Linked DNA regions of Arabidopsis thaliana. The protein of the gene in region 1 interacts with the protein of each later gene in a pairwise test. Each region holds a gene or a part of one and is shown on either strand. Other genes may lie near its edges.

Region 1 (3,487 bases):
ATTATTCCAGTTTTTTCAAACAGATGATTGAAGGATGGGAACGTGAAGCAAACGAGAAATACCCCTTTAGGCCAGATCTCAACAATGATGACAGTTCATATTTCCTACAAAGCCGAGACCAAGTTTATGTCAACAGATCTTTCTTTGTTCAAGGCAAGGCTCAAGCTTATATTCGTCAGTGGAACAACTGGAAGCCATACCGTGACTTGGGGAACAAGATAGGTGTGTTGTGGCCAACTCAAGACAATGATTGTCCTAAAATTGAAGCTATGAATCCGCTGACCTACATGATTCATGGCCTGAGTCGTCGTTACAACATCCTTCCTTTACTTAAGTAAATTGTTTCTTTTTTTAATCTAGTTTTCTAATTAGTTTGTGGTCTAGGGGTTTCGGCTGATTTTTATTATTAATAAAATACATATTTAAGTTTTTTTTATACTGAGAAGCTATTCTGAAAAAAATCATATTTCTTTTTTGTTTTGATGAAATGTGAAATTTATTGATGAAAGAATAATGAGATTATGTACAGCTGTAAGATGTATAGTTCATATGTTCTGCACAGGAGCAGAAAACCTATTGAAAAAAACAGAGTATAAGCTTTTAACTAGAAAGTCGTGTTAGCCGTAACAGAATAATTCAAGAAAGAAATACTGAGATAACCGAAACCAAAATACTAAACCGAACAAATAAAAAAACGAACTGAATCCCAACCAAAATTATAAAATATCTTAACCAATTTTTTCAAACCCAACCCGAATGGTGAACCAGATAACTTTTTAGGTTACTGTGTCATTGGGTTCAACCGGATTCGACCATAGATCAATTGATTAAAATTTATTTAATATTTTTAATACTTTTAGAAATTATATAGTATTATAAATATAAAAATAAAAAATAATCATACCATGTTTAACAAAATATGAAGTTTCACAATAAAAATAAAGTGATTAAAATTTTTAAATCCAACAAAAACCATAAAAAAAATACTTAGATAGTATGAGATTATCAACAAAAAAACTAATAAAACATTGCGAAAACAATATAACTAATCACCGTTGTTTCTCTCACCATTCCTAATATTTAATTCCAAAATATCAAAATCAAATGGATTTTGTTAAAACTCAAACCCGACTGATTCAGTGGATAGCATGTTAATGGTGAATTTTTTGTGTTTTTTTTTCTAGTTTTTAAACTGTTGGATGTTAACCCAAACTGGAAGTGTGTACAGGTCACAGGGTCAAACTAGACGGTTCGGGTCTAGCGTGAAAAAAATGGATTATAGAATCTTTAAACGAAACGAACGAAAAGGTAACCGAATGTGTACCCGAAATATCCAAAAACAAAAGGAGTATCCGAAACAATTCAAGAAGGTGTTTAAGACCTTAGTTCTGTTTAATTATGTCCTAATTATGTTATTTGGTTTGGAGAGCATTCTAGTACACGCTATCCTCTGTTTACGTACTTAGCTTTTACATGTTAATCTATACACCAATCAAGGCAGTCTCAGGATAAACAATCATTATCCTAAATAATTACGTATAGACTTTGCTTTGTTTTTTAGTTCGGTTAATATTTGTTTTTAAAATCGTTATAGTTAATTATGTAATATGTTTTAGGTGTTTTAAAGCAAAACAATTTCTTTTAAAACCCATAATTGGCTTTCATTATATTTTTCAGTCACAGTCTACTTTATTAAAGTAAAGTTTCTTCTAGTTAAGTTTATCTCTAATTAAAAGGTTAAGGGTAAAGGTTCTTTTAAACCAATGCTAAATCGTTTGGTGATTCTTAATATTATTATTTCTATTTAATAAATATTTTGTGCAGTTGAGTGAAACAAATTTTGTCATAAGGCATCGGTACCTGCTTTTTTCAAGAAAATGGGATGCTTTGACTAGTATGATATATAATTGTGTTTTATATATCAATCATGTTATATTTACTCTTGGTTAAGATTATTTTTTATTGTTAATGATATCATTGATACAATGATACTTAAGAAAAACTAAAAATGTTCCAAATGTATTCTATAACCAATTATCATTTGAGCTACATTGTTCTCTATCTAATCAAATCAAAATCATAATATTAAGCTATTATGGTATATAGGAAATATTTGAACTCAATCCTTTTTTTTTGTGCGGTTCAAGCTTCTAAAGAGGTCTCAAAATTTGTGTGCAGTCTTTCTTCACACTTTCACTCACCTTTTGTTCCTACACATAATTCTCTTTGCTTTTAATTATATAATACTAACTTGATACAACTAGCCATATCACAATTTCCTAACTCCCAAGAACAAAAGAAAACTCCTTTCTTCCATTCTTGGACTTTTCTCTCACTTTTGGTCTCTTGGATATGAATCTCCTACTATTTTTTCTTCTCTCCACCGTTTCAGTTTTCGCCGTTGTCTCTGGCACGGTGGAGGAGACGGCCCGTGATGTTATTGATGCATTGGCTCATGCCCCTTTTGAAGAATGGTCATCGGTTTTCATAGAAACCAATGACCGGATCCGCGCCGAGGTTATCCCATCTACCCTCTTCATCCCAAACTCTTCCGCCAACGGGAGCGATGATAGACATAAGTTGGCTTCATACCACATTGTTCCTCAGAGGCTTGAGTTTGCAGATCTTCTCTTGAAGCCAAGTAGATCGAGACTACCGACTCTTCTCAACGGCTCCTCCATTCTGGTAACCAACAATTCTGCTACTTCTTTTTCTATCGACGGCGTTCTCATCATCGAACTTGACATCTACGTGGATTCCTTCATAGCCATCCATCGTATTGCATATCCGCTTGATTACACAACTTACGGCGGCGGCTCTAAGCTTATATCGAAATGGCCGCTCTTCACCTTTATGCTTGTTACGGTTGTGTGGTTCATTTAATCATAGTGATATGAATAGATTGTGCTCATTTCACCTTATGATATATATATGAAAAGACTGAAGTCCCTAATCTATAATATGAAAGTCTTTTAAATGAACACTTAAACCTTTTTTTCTTGTACTCATGACTTGGTCATTTTTAGTAACGTACAACTTTTTATTTTTGTTTTTTAAACACGTAGACTGCATACATTGAGAGGTTTAACGATGAACATATATGCTCTCTTGTTTTTTACTCATTAAAATGCCGACTTCTCTATACACACAACACACGGAGATAGATACTTCTCATCATTTGAGTCATTATCAATATAAATAACTGAGACATCTTTCCAAAATTTACCACGACAATGAGAGGTTATCAACATATATATATATATATATATATATGAAAAGTAATATTCAAAAAAAGTAATAGATGAATCATGAATGGTCAACTAGATTTTGAGTCATTATTAATAGACGAAGAGATCTCTACAAAAAAAAACATTTACCATTCTATAATCACTAAACAAAATACCAGCTGAAATACAACAAATCTTATCGAAGACCACTACTAATCAATCTTACATATTCTATATTGTTAAATACTTTAACTATCTAT
Region 2 (4,732 bases), 280 kb from region 1:
AAAAAATACAAATAAATATACTAATTGATTGGCTTCTTCACCTTTTGATATTTAAAAATGCCAATTTTTTAATTTGGAGGTAAAGACAAAATATCTTCTTTCCAACTTGTAGGAGCTGCCTCATCACTCATGTCATGCTTCCATCTTTTTGAAAAGCACCCAAATACCCTGACTTTTTTTACATATGTACGAAGTTGCCATTTAGTGGTATCGACAACATTATCACGAGTTCCAACTTTCAAGTAATTCGCGATCTACTTTGTGAATCCATTTGTTAATATAATAACTGTGATACTCCGAATCTTTAGTTGCGGCAACAAGGTACGTACGAATCTCCAAAATCGTTGAGTTTAAATAACACTAATATAATAAACACATTATTTCATGTGGTGGACAAATGAAATTAGAGATTCGTGAATAGGTTGGTTGAAAGTTTGTAAAAACACACTTTTTCAAAATAAAATAAAACAGAGTTTGTAAAAACACACTTTATCAAATTAAAACAAAAAAGAGTTTGTAAAAGCACCTACTTCTGCTGAAACTTCAAACTTGCAAGCATCTAAAAGTCTAATTAGTGATGTAAGACATAGAAATTATTTCCATAAATTATTATTTATTTGCATCAGACATGAAAGATTGTCATTTCTGATTATTATGCTTGAGTAAATGGTTCAACTTCGTTTTACCAAATTGTTAATGCTTCTAGAAAGCAATACTTCGAGTTATTTATATCTATTGCGTCAATGCAAGGTTTGTTTTAGACTTTTTAGCTATTTAAAGCAATAAGTATGAACTAATATCAAAAAAGTATGAGCTATATCAAAAGTCCAAACTTAAAAACGGTCAGGCTTTTACTTAGTCCATGCTTCACATTCCTAATTGCTTATCTAGAATGCAGCAAATAATGATCATAAAATTTGAAAAAAGCGTTATAGAAAAAACTCCAAAGAGAACACAAATGACCACATAGATATTATCATCACAACCCCATGAAACTGTACATCTAAAACATTACTGAAATGCAAAAAAATATCCAAAACAATATTTAAGTATCACAAAACATCATTTAAAATAATACTCTAGAAAATAGAGAATAAAAGTAAAAATCCAAATCAAACCGGAGTAGGTGTAGTATTAGCACCAGAAGGAGAAGGAGATCGTGGCTCAACTCTCCTAAGCTGAATGGCTTTGTGAGACTCATCATCATCAAAGTACATATAAGCAAAACCACCGTGCCTGGTCATATCCATACCGGCCATCTCATCCTCGGACGATATCCGCAACAATTTCATTTTCTTGAGGATGAAGAAAAGTGTCCCCATGGTCGCACTTACCCAACCCGTGATCACAATGATCTGAATCAGCTGAGCTCCAAGTAGTTTTCCTCCACCGCCCATAAACAAACCGTGTGGCCTTCCGGGTTTGTTGCCGTAAATCTGGTTCAAGTACTTTTCTTGAGCGAAGAGAGCCGTGAATATTAGTCCCCACGCACCGCAACCACCGTGTAGTTGTGCTGCCTCAAGAGGGTCGTCGTATTTGAGCTTCTCAGCGAGCTTGTTGCATCCGAGGAGGACTAGGGCCGCCACGAACCCGCAGATGATCGCAGCCCATGGCTCAACGACAGAGCAGCCACCAGTTATGGCTGCAAACCCTCCGAGGAGGCCGTTGCATACATCAGTGACGTTCCAATGTCCCGAGAGTAGACGTTTCCCAAATAGGGTTGTCAGCGCCGCGGTGCAGCCAGCTAACGTTGTTGTGACAGCTGTCCGTCCGACCGCGCTCCACTGGCCGTTGTATGTGCCTGTCTCGTACGTGACTAGGATCTTGTTGAAGGAACCGGGGTTAAATCCGTACCATCCAAACCAGAGGAGGAATGTTCCAAGGACAACAAGTGACGCCGAGTGGCCACGAAGAGCGATGGCACGGCCTCCGTTATCGAACCGGCCAAGTCGTGGACCTTCGATGAGCGCACCCCAGAGTCCAGCGATACCTCCGACCATATGAACAACACCGGACCCAGCGAAATCTATCGCTCCGGTGCTGAAAAGCAAATCTCCATCGGTACGGAACGGGCTGGCCCATCCATCAACTGACCAGAACCAGTGAGAGACGACCGGGTAAACAAACCCGGTTAAGAAAGAGGAATAGATTAGGTAAGCCACGAACTGTGTCCGTTCAGCGATCGAGCCACTTGTGATTCCAGCCGCAGCGATTGCAAAGGCCCATTGGTAGAGAAAGTTGGAGTAGTCAGCAGAGGCCGTGGGGATGTCTTTGAGACCAAAGTAGTGTTTACCGATGAAACCATTGGACGGAGATCCAAAGGCAAAGGCGTAGCCAAACAGATAATAGAAGAGACCACCGGCTGCAGCGTCAAGGACGTTGGTAAGCATGATGTTCATAGTATTCTTGGCTCTCACGGAACCGGCACAGAGCATAGCGAAGCCAAGCTGCATAGAGAAGACAAGGTAGGCGGAGAAGAGAAGGTAAGTGTTGTCTATAGCGAAAGCGGTGTCGATAAATTTGTTGTTGACGTCGCCTAACTGGCCACAGATGTAGTTGGCCGCCGCCGTGGCATTAGGACCCAACAGGACAGCGAGATCGGTGGCCGAGCAAGACATGTTGAGAGTTTAGAGAAGAAGATGAAACAGAGAGGCTGAGAAAGAAAGTGTTTTGTTTCTCTGTTTATATAAAAGAAGGAAGCTAAAGGCCTAGGGTTGACTTTTCAATCCTGACGAAAAATATTCGTAACGCATAATACAAAGTCTTTAAGTTTTGTTTATTAGTACATACATGTGAATAAAAAATAAATAAGGAATGTAAATGTATCAGGCTTCAGCTAATATATCGGTGAAGATAAGATCTGTGTGTTCAGAAAAAAATATTCTATCACATCCAAATGTATAAGTGAATAACAGAAAAATAAAATGTAAAAATATTCTATCACATCCATATAGTTGTTGGAAATGGCAGCGAAATTTCGAATTTCTTCTTCTTCGTTTAGCCACAGGGCTAGTGATTCCTCAACTTCATCATCTTCTTCATATTCATCATTGCTTGCTTTACCTCAATTCTTTTGTCCACCATCACCATTAGGATTCCCAGAATTCAAGCTTCATGCCAAATTAGGTACTCTTATATCTTTTATTTGTTTGTAGATGTAAATTTTGTTAATCTTTGGTTATTGCATAAGGTGGAGGAGATGGAGAAGTGAAGCCTAAAGATAAGAAAAAGTTTATAACCAAAGAGGAAGAACCTGAACAGTAAGTTAATCTTAATTCTCAATTTTCATCATGAGATTGTAGAAAATAACAGAAACTCATAGAATGGTAATGTAATTTTGCAAAATCACAGAAAAACAAACCTAGGAAATTGATGAAAACATGGAAAATTACAAAACGATATGTAGGTTACCAATTTAATACAAAAATTTTAGTCTCCATTGCAGAATTTAAGTAGTTTTTTTTTTTGTATGTGTCAATGACATGTAGACTGGTGGTTTGTGACATTGTGTTAGTATTGTATCAATATCCAGACTCAAATCCGTGTTAGCAAAAGAATAAAAATATTTGGGTTGTAGTTTAGTCAAAAGAACTAAACTCTTTTAAAATAGAAAAAGAACTTAAATTCTTGCATGTTCATTTTTCATAAACATGCAATTGTGATTGAAGAAATGGTTATGGATGAGGATTGCATTGGAATTTTGTAGGTATTGGCAAAGCGTTGGAGAAAGAGAAGGAGAGAATCCGATGAAGACGCCTCTTCCTTACATTATCATATTCGGTATGTCAACTCCATTCGTCATCTTAGCCATTGCTTTTGCCAATGGTTGGATCAAAGTTCCCATTCGTTGAGCCTTTCTTTTTGTTTTTTCTTCACTTGTTTAAGGCTGAATCTTAAACATGTTTCTTATACTCTTCTTCTTCGGCTGTAAAAAAGAACAAATTAATAGAATGCTATCACTATATTATATGGTGCTTTGCTATACTACATGTCTTCATTACAAGCAAATGTATAAACAAATATTAGTCATCTCTTCATCATTAGTGATATGTTTGGTCTTGTCAAGAAGAATGAGAATTAGAGACAACACAAAGTAGTGACATAGAGCCTAGTTGGCACATTAAGCAGAGACTTGAAATCATCTAGAAGACTTTTCAAATTACAGCCTGACGAAAAATATTCGTAACGCAAATTGCAAAGTCTTTAAGTTTTTGTTTGTAAGTACATGTGAATAGAAAATAAATAAGAATAATAATAATAAAAAGGAATGTAAAAAATGTATCAGCTAATATATCGGTGAAGATAAGATATGTGTGTTCTTAAAAAAGTATTCTATCACATCCAAATATATAAGTGAATAACAGAAAAATATATATAGTATTGAGACTGAAATTCCTTGTTTTTATTGTTTTCTTGGTTAGGCGAAATTTCTTACTATCTCTTTTGAACATTAAAAAGTGTCAATTTGACAAGATATTCTTTTGTTTTCAAAAGTAAGTCTTAGATTTGAGTATTAATATATTATAAATTACGTACTTACAAAACTATGTTTGCATTTAGCATATTTCGAATTCATTTATAAGATATTAATTGATAATTTCTGTGATATCTCAACCAGGTTGTTGTTGGTATATCTTAATTGACTAATTGAGAGTGAGCATAATATCCACATACCACATGCTATAAAGTTAATGTTTCTTTTCCGTTAAATTATCTTTTCTATTTATATAAT
Region 3 (7,116 bases), on another chromosome or scaffold:
CCAAATGTTCAAACGCGTGTAAGGCTTCTAGATCCGTGGTATTTGAAAGGTATACTAGTTACGCAATAAAAGGGAGATGAAAGATTCAGTAAATACCAATGCAGTAATAAAACGGGATGGGATGTTTCGACAAAATACGATCCCAATCATCGTTGAAAGAGTTGCGAAACTCTCCGTCTTTGTCCATCATATATGCGAATCCGGCCATCACAGCGATAACCTAGAGTTTCAACAATCTTCTTATTATCAGACGTCAAAAAGATTCAGACAATCTCTATGAAAAACAAGCTTCAAAAATGGCAAGTCACAGTGAGCAAAATGAACAATTTGATAGTCATCAACTTCCATTGTCAATTTCAAGCACCCACCATGTGTACGCAGTAACCAGGTCAAGATTCGAATCTAGTTCACTTTGTGAGCCAGATTATGACATCATATAAAATTTATCCTCAGAATCTCTTAATAAATGCTTTATAATCCTCACGAAAACTATGAAGAGAAGCTGAGAGAGAGAGATACTCACAGTCTGCACAGCTAAGAAAACCAAAAGCACATCTCTTGCGACAAAGAGTCTGAATTTAGCTTTTCTACGCCACGAATTGTTATCCTCAAAGGGTTCGACTCTCAGATGAAACTGTGCTTTGCAAGTAGTACAGTGAGAGAAAGCAAAACCTTCTTTAACCGATCGCCAATGATCGAGACATGAGCGATGCACGAATTGTTGAGTGCCTTTACACATACAAGGTGAAATCAATTCATCGCCTAACAATTCACTATCGTCCTCCAAACAAATACGACAACAAGGAGCTGAAGAAGCATCGTTCTCTAAATCTTCTTCAGCCTTTATCTCATCGCTATTTCCTGCCACCACAGACGCAGCAGAAGGAGACGCCGAAGAAGAATTGGTGTGATCTCCTAACAAAGGAGCGGAATCACTTAGTTTCTGTGAATCCGGTGGCTGCAATTGTACTTCACCTTGCATCATTGATCCAAACCTTCGCTAACCCTAAATTTCAGACAAGAAATCTGTGGGTGGAAATCAATCGGTGTGATTAGAGGACTAATGATTCGAATCGAGTCAAATACATTAGCGTCTCTGTGTTCGTTGATCGGCTAGAGAATAATCGTGCGGGGATGTGAGAAGATTATTTACAGAAGTGGGAGAGAGGCAAAACATAAAACTGGAGAAGAAGGGTCAATGCGAGAGAGAAACGAAAGCTTCTTTATTTTGGGAATTGAAAATTACAGAGAAAAAGGGAAATGGGGTGAGAGAGGCTCGAACTCTCGACCTCAGGATCACTCAATAGCTATGAGACCTACGCGCTAGCCAACTGCGCCACCACCCCAATGTTGGGAATTTGTACACGTGTTAATTTATTATATCATATTCATTTATTCTCCTGGCAAAACAGTGACCGGTCCACCACAAATTGCCAAATCCTAGTATCATTAGTCAAAGCTTTGATGTACTCGTAAACTTCTAATATTAACCGCCATTTATCAGTAAAATCGGTTGAGTTGTTGCTGCTAGATTATGATTAGTAGATTGCTGCTATAAATTCGGTTTACAAAAATTGTATGAAATGGCGTAATTTTGGTTTTTGTATCTGATTATTGTTCATTTAATTCGGACAGTGATTGAATCTCTCTCCTAATTTCAATGATACGTAAACCGATTGAGATATCATCAACCCGGCTTTGTTATTATCGACTAATGGTTGTACCGGTCGGTAAAGTCCGGCTATTAAATTGCATTATTAAATTTAGGTTCTTTAACGACATTTAGGGGGAAGCACATGAATGCTGCAATAAATGAAAGAAGCAATTGAATAAAGAAAGAGAAGAGAGAAGACCGTTGGAGAAGACGAGGAAGCAACCATGTGCTTTGGTTTCTACTTGGTACAGCATTCCATGAGCTTTTTTCTTCTCTTTGACTAGTATATTTTATTGTAGAAAATTAAATGGAGGAAAAAGCTAAACTTTCTTAATCACAGATGCAGATTGATTCTCCATTTTTCTCGGGAGAAAAGTTCCTCGCCGGAGATGGAGCATATGATGAAAGAAGGAAGGTCTCTTGCAGAGACGCCGACTTACTCTGTTGCTTCGGTTGTTACTGTTTTGGTCTTTGTTTGCTTTCTCGTTGAACGCGCCATTTACAGATTTGGAAAGGTGTGTTTTTGTTTTGTATTTTTTCTTCGTGTGTGTGCCTACTATATGTTTGTTGAAATGCTCAGCTCAAAAGAATGAGTGTGAAGAACGTATTATGATTTTTTTTTTTTTTCTGCACACTTGCCACTTGGGTTAACTCTTGCTCTCCATGATTCATGAGCTGGAAATGTTTTATCTAATAATGGGTGCTAGAAAGTGAGAATTTTTATGGACGAGATGTTTCTTCTTGGAGATATGTGTTTATGCTTGCTAAATGTCAGTAGAAGTAGTGTTGATGTTTTCACTCTAAGAGAAGTCATTATTACAGGATGTGTCTTTCATGTTAGATATATATGAGGAGCTAATTTCATGTTCTGTTTTGTTTTCAGTGGTTAAAGAAGACTAGAAGAAAGGCACTTTTTACTTCACTTGAGAAAATGAAAGAGGGTATGTCAAATAAACCTGTGCTGATGTTGTGGTGCTTTATACTTTCTTTCTTTTTCGTTTGATTTTGACTTGTTAAACTTTCTTGGTAGAGTTGATGTTGCTGGGACTTATATCACTTCTGTTGTCACAAAGCGCGAGATGGATTTCAGAAATCTGTGTTAACTCTTCCCTTTTCAATAGTAAATTCTACATTTGCTCTGAAGAGGACTATGGAATCCATAAGAAAGTTCTTCTGGAACACACCTCTTCTACAAACCAGAGCTCCTTACCTCATCATGGAATACATGAAGCCTCTCATCAATGTGGTCATGTAAATATTTACTTTTTCTATCGACTTAAGAGCCTATTTTCCTTTTGACTTTTAATTATATTACTGAACTGGATGTTGGATCCAATGCCAGGGCCGTGAACCATTTGTGTCGTATGAGGGACTCGAGCAACTCCTAAGATTCTTATTCGTCCTGGGTATCACTCATGTTCTATACAGTGGCATTGCCATTGGTTTAGCCATGAGCAAGGTACACATCCTAGCTCCTAAATCTACATATGAGTGTTAAATTTGTATTCTTAAGTATTTCTATGTTGCTCCGAAAGGAAGAGATGTATTATACTTGCAATCAACTTTATCCTCATGTCTAGAGGATGTAGAGAACCTCATGATCAAATAATTAGTGGTCCTAAGTATATGTCAAATAGAAATTATCTTCAATCTGAAAATTGAGGGAAAACCTTCGATATTATCATTTATGTGCATAGAGTGTTAGTAAGATTAAGCAGACGAACATATCAATACCATCTGAAACAGTGTTGTCTTTTTATCACGTAACACAGATTTACAGTTGGAGAAAATGGGAAGCCCAAGCGATCATAATGGCTGAATCAGATATCCACGGTAAATGACAAGACTTTTCTGTCTCTCCTTCAAATTAAGGCTTGTATGTTTTTGATGGGTCTCATCTTGAGGGCACATGAGGAACTGTGTTATCTTAGGATTAAGAACAGCATGAAACTAGGATTCTGTTAAGTATTTAGGTTGTTCATTCATGAACTCACTTAAGCTGTGGAGAGGCTTTTATGCAGATTTGCAAATTTCGCTTCATCTTGACTAGCAGATCAAATCCAGTATAATCACTTATAAATACTGATATAGGAAAAATTCCTTTCTGTCCTAGTATAATCACTTATACAGGATTGAAATGAACTGTGTGGAAAAGAGATGTATCTCTGTAATTTTAGCTTTATCACAAACAGCTGATTCATTGTTAAAGATACTTAATGCCTAGGATGCTTTAGTTTCCAGTCATATATACCCTAGTCTTCTTGACTTTGTTCAACAGCAAAGAAGACCAAGGTGATGAAGCGTCAGTCTACATTTGTTTTCCATCATGCCTCTCATCCTTGGAGTAACAATCGTTTTCTCATTTGGATGGTAACTCCCCATGCTTTTACCTTAAGCTGTAATTTTTTAAAAATTTCATATCTCTAGTTAAGAACACTGTTATATTTTTCTCCAGAAGCTATTTTTACGGCATTTGTCCAGCAATAAAATATATGTTTGCATTGCAGCTTTGTTTCCTGCGGCAATTTAGAGGCTCCATACGAAAGTCTGACTACTTCGCACTTCGGTTAGGTTTCCTCACTGTGAGTAACTTTTTTATTTCGTTTCTCAGTCTTTCCTTCAAATTTAAAATATAACTTTCTAGTAATTTCTCAAGAATTCTCATCTAATCTGGTAGCTGACATGATTAGTTTTCTGAATCCGGTCTTCATTACTTTAAAATTTCAGAAACATAATTTGCCATTTACATACAACTTCCATATGTATATGGTACGGACGATGGAAGATGAGTTTCATGGCATTGTTGGAATTAGGTATGCGTTTCTGAGAATTGAGATCTTATCAAAGACTCTTTATTCAACTGTTTTCAGAAGATTTCGTAAGGGAGTTACAGAATGGGACTGATGAATGTTTCTTGATGAATCAACAGCTGGCCACTTTGGGTTTACGCTATAGTATGCATCTGCATAAATGTTCATGGTAACTTATCGGTTCAATAAATACAAACTACATTCCATTTCTATCTCCACATTAAAGCTTTGTCTTTACTAATTCAGTGATTTCCTTGCAGGCCTGAATATGTACTTTTGGATATCATTCGTTCCTGCCATTGTAAGTAAAAGCAAGATTAAGTAAAAAGCTTGAAATTCATAAGGCAGTACTAACACTCAGAGCATGTGTTTGTATCTGTTTTGTTGTCTAAGCTTGTCATGTTGGTTGGAACCAAACTTGAGCATGTTGTCTCCAAGCTTGCTCTCGAGGTTAAGGAGCAGCAGACAGGCACATCTAATGGGGCTCAAGTCAAACCACGTGATGGGCTCTTCTGGTTTGGGAAACCAGAAATTCTGCTACGGTTGATACAATTTATCATTTTTCAGGTAAGCAAAAAGACTTTTCCTTTCTCAATTCTTCAAGCCATGATATTACTCTATTCACACAGATGATCCTTATATATTTCCTGCTAATGCAGAATGCATTTGAAATGGCAACATTCATCTGGTTCTTGGTAAGGCCACCTTATAAAATGCATCAATACTTAAATCAGCTATGCAAAGTTTTTCAGTTTTTGAGAAGATCATCAATTTCATGTATCAGTGGGGAATCAAGGAAAGATCTTGCTTCATGAAGAACCATGTGATGATATCAAGCCGGCTAATTTCTGGGTGCGTTTCAAATACACAACAATTCGCAGCAACACACTGTCTCTTAAGATTTTTTTTTTCTTTCTGGTGAATGCAGGGTTCTCGTTCAGTTCTGGTGTAGTTATGGCACTGTGCCTCTCAATGTAATCGTTACTCAGGTTCGTCAAAACCTTTCATATATCTACAATTCCACAATCTTAAGCCTATCCAAGTCTGTGACTAAACATCGTTCATAAAAACTCTATGGTTTCACCTGAATCTGAACAGATGGGATCTCGGCATAAGAAAGCTGTGATAGCAGAGAGCGTAAGAGACTCACTTCACAGTTGGTGCAAGAGAGTGAAAGAGAGGTCTAAGCACACGAGATCAGTGTGTTCCCTTGACACAGCAACAATAGACGAGAGAGACGAGATGACAGTGGGGACATTGTCTAGGAGCTCATCGATGACTTCACTGAATCAGATTACCATAAACTCCATAGACCAAGCAGAGTCTATATTCGGAGCAGCAGCTTCATCCAGCAGTCCTCAAGATGGATACACGTCGAGGGTGGAAGAATATCTGTCTGAAACATACAATAACATCGGTTCGATACCGCCTTTAAACGATGAGATTGAGATTGAGATTGAAGGTGAAGAAGATAATGGAGGGAGAGGAAGTGGGAGTGATGAGAATAACGGTGATGCTGGAGAAACACTTCTTGAGTTGTTTAGGAGGACTTGATCTTGTTTCTGCTTTTAGAAGCTTGGTTCAGTTGTAATTACTTGACATCCATACAAGAATAACAATTAACAAAGTAAATCTTTTGTTGGTCCAGTAAAAAAAAGTATTCAATGATCAAAGTACATCTTTTGTTGGTTCAGAGGTAAATTTAAAATATAATAGCATGGATTGGAACGAGATATTATGGCATTAGGAAACTTTTTGATTATGGCAGTATAAACAAAGACCACAAATTATGGCAGCTATACATATATTGATTTCAAAACAGAGATAAAGACTTGTCACCTGTCATTTGATTATTTATGAATTTACCTCTGCAGCATTTTCCTTCTTCTGTGCAGTCACGCCTACCGATGGATTTGATTAATTTCCTGTCGATTATTACTAAGTTGTATTTCTAGTAAATACAACTTAAAAGTAGTTTTGTACTCGGTCTTAAAACTAGTTTTGTACATAGTTTTTGAGTAAGATACTTTGTTTTTTTTGGGACAAAGAGTAAGTTAGTAATATCAAATTTTATCATAGTGATTGTTAATTTATGTCAACTACGAAATTAAGAAGTTATCAAATCTGATTTGAGTTATGATAACAATGTCATTGATAGACTCGGTCAATTATGGCATTAAGAAAATCTAAGGATTTAAGTAACCAGGTATCAATTATTACCGCCGTTGGTATTGACTTTTAAATAAGACTTGCCAGTTGTCACACACATGTCATAAACAATTGTTTTTTTCTTCTTCTTTTCATTCAAATGATAAAATTAAACTTGCACTATACAGTTTCTATAGAATCATCCATCACTAGATCTGGTCTGGCGATCCCCAAAAGATCAAGTCAAAAATGAATAACAGAGAAATGAAACATGGTAAAAAAAAAGACGAGAAGATGCCGGTTTTAGTGATGCCAGGTTTCATAGCCGGAGCAACATTTCTGGTTATTTGGATCATACGACGTGAGTTCCTTTTATCTTACTTTTGGTGTAACATAGATTTCCTTGCTTCTGTTTATCTTTTGAATAATCCATATATAGGCTATAGAAAGGGCTCCACCAAAACTAACTCGCCGCCACCATCCGCGCTTCCAAAGGCTCGAGAA

What was found. Proteins that work in one complex are often made in the same cells at the same time.
Region 2: the proteins of AT4G12950 (region 1) and AMT1;1 interact in a protein complementation assay, tested with the Arabidopsis thaliana proteins (one large-scale study listed by BioGRID).
Region 3: the proteins of AT4G12950 (region 1) and MLO4 interact in a protein complementation assay, tested with the Arabidopsis thaliana proteins (one large-scale study listed by BioGRID).

The regions. Positions count from the first base shown.
Region 1 is NC_003075.7:7,574,290-7,577,776, forward strand, and holds AT4G12950 (Fasciclin-like arabinogalactan family protein), read left to right. Parts: upstream 1-2,352; coding exon 2,353-2,883; downstream 2,884-3,487. Other genes in the region: AT4G12940 (uncharacterized protein), read left to right, coding at 1-338.
Region 2 is NC_003075.7:7,856,106-7,860,837, reverse strand, and holds AMT1;1 (ammonium transporter 1;1), read right to left. Parts: upstream 2,656-4,732; 5' UTR 2,619-2,655; coding exon 1,113-2,618; 3' UTR 920-1,112; downstream 1-919. Other genes in the region: AT4G13500 (uncharacterized protein), read left to right, coding at 2,964-3,126, 3,191-3,260, 3,707-3,851. UniProt on the Arabidopsis thaliana protein: High affinity ammonium transporter probably involved in ammonium uptake from the soil, long-distance transport to the shoots and re-uptake of apoplastic ammonium that derives from photorespiration in shoots.
Region 3 is NC_003070.9:3,670,837-3,677,952, reverse strand, and holds MLO4 (Seven transmembrane MLO family protein), read left to right. Parts: upstream 1-1,819; 5' UTR 1,820-1,899; exon of another isoform or gene 1,900-1,994; 5' UTR 1,995-2,043; coding exon 2,044-2,169; intron 2,170-2,537; coding exon 2,538-2,595; intron 2,596-2,684; coding exon 2,685-2,905; intron 2,906-2,996; coding exon 2,997-3,113; intron 3,114-3,426; coding exon 3,427-3,487; intron 3,488-3,932; coding exon 3,933-4,024; intron 4,025-4,161; coding exon 4,162-4,236; intron 4,237-4,381; coding exon 4,382-4,467; intron 4,468-4,583; coding exon 4,584-4,633; intron 4,634-4,724; coding exon 4,725-4,765; intron 4,766-4,857; coding exon 4,858-5,031; intron 5,032-5,123; coding exon 5,124-5,159; intron 5,160-5,248; coding exon 5,249-5,316; coding exon of another isoform or gene 5,317-5,386; exon of another isoform or gene 5,387-5,392; coding exon 5,393-5,453; intron 5,454-5,562; coding exon 5,563-6,018; 3' UTR 6,019-6,197; downstream 6,198-7,116. Other genes in the region: AT1G11020 (RING/FYVE/PHD zinc finger superfamily protein), read right to left, coding at 97-220, 524-985; AT1G10990 (uncharacterized protein), read left to right, coding at 6,862-7,116.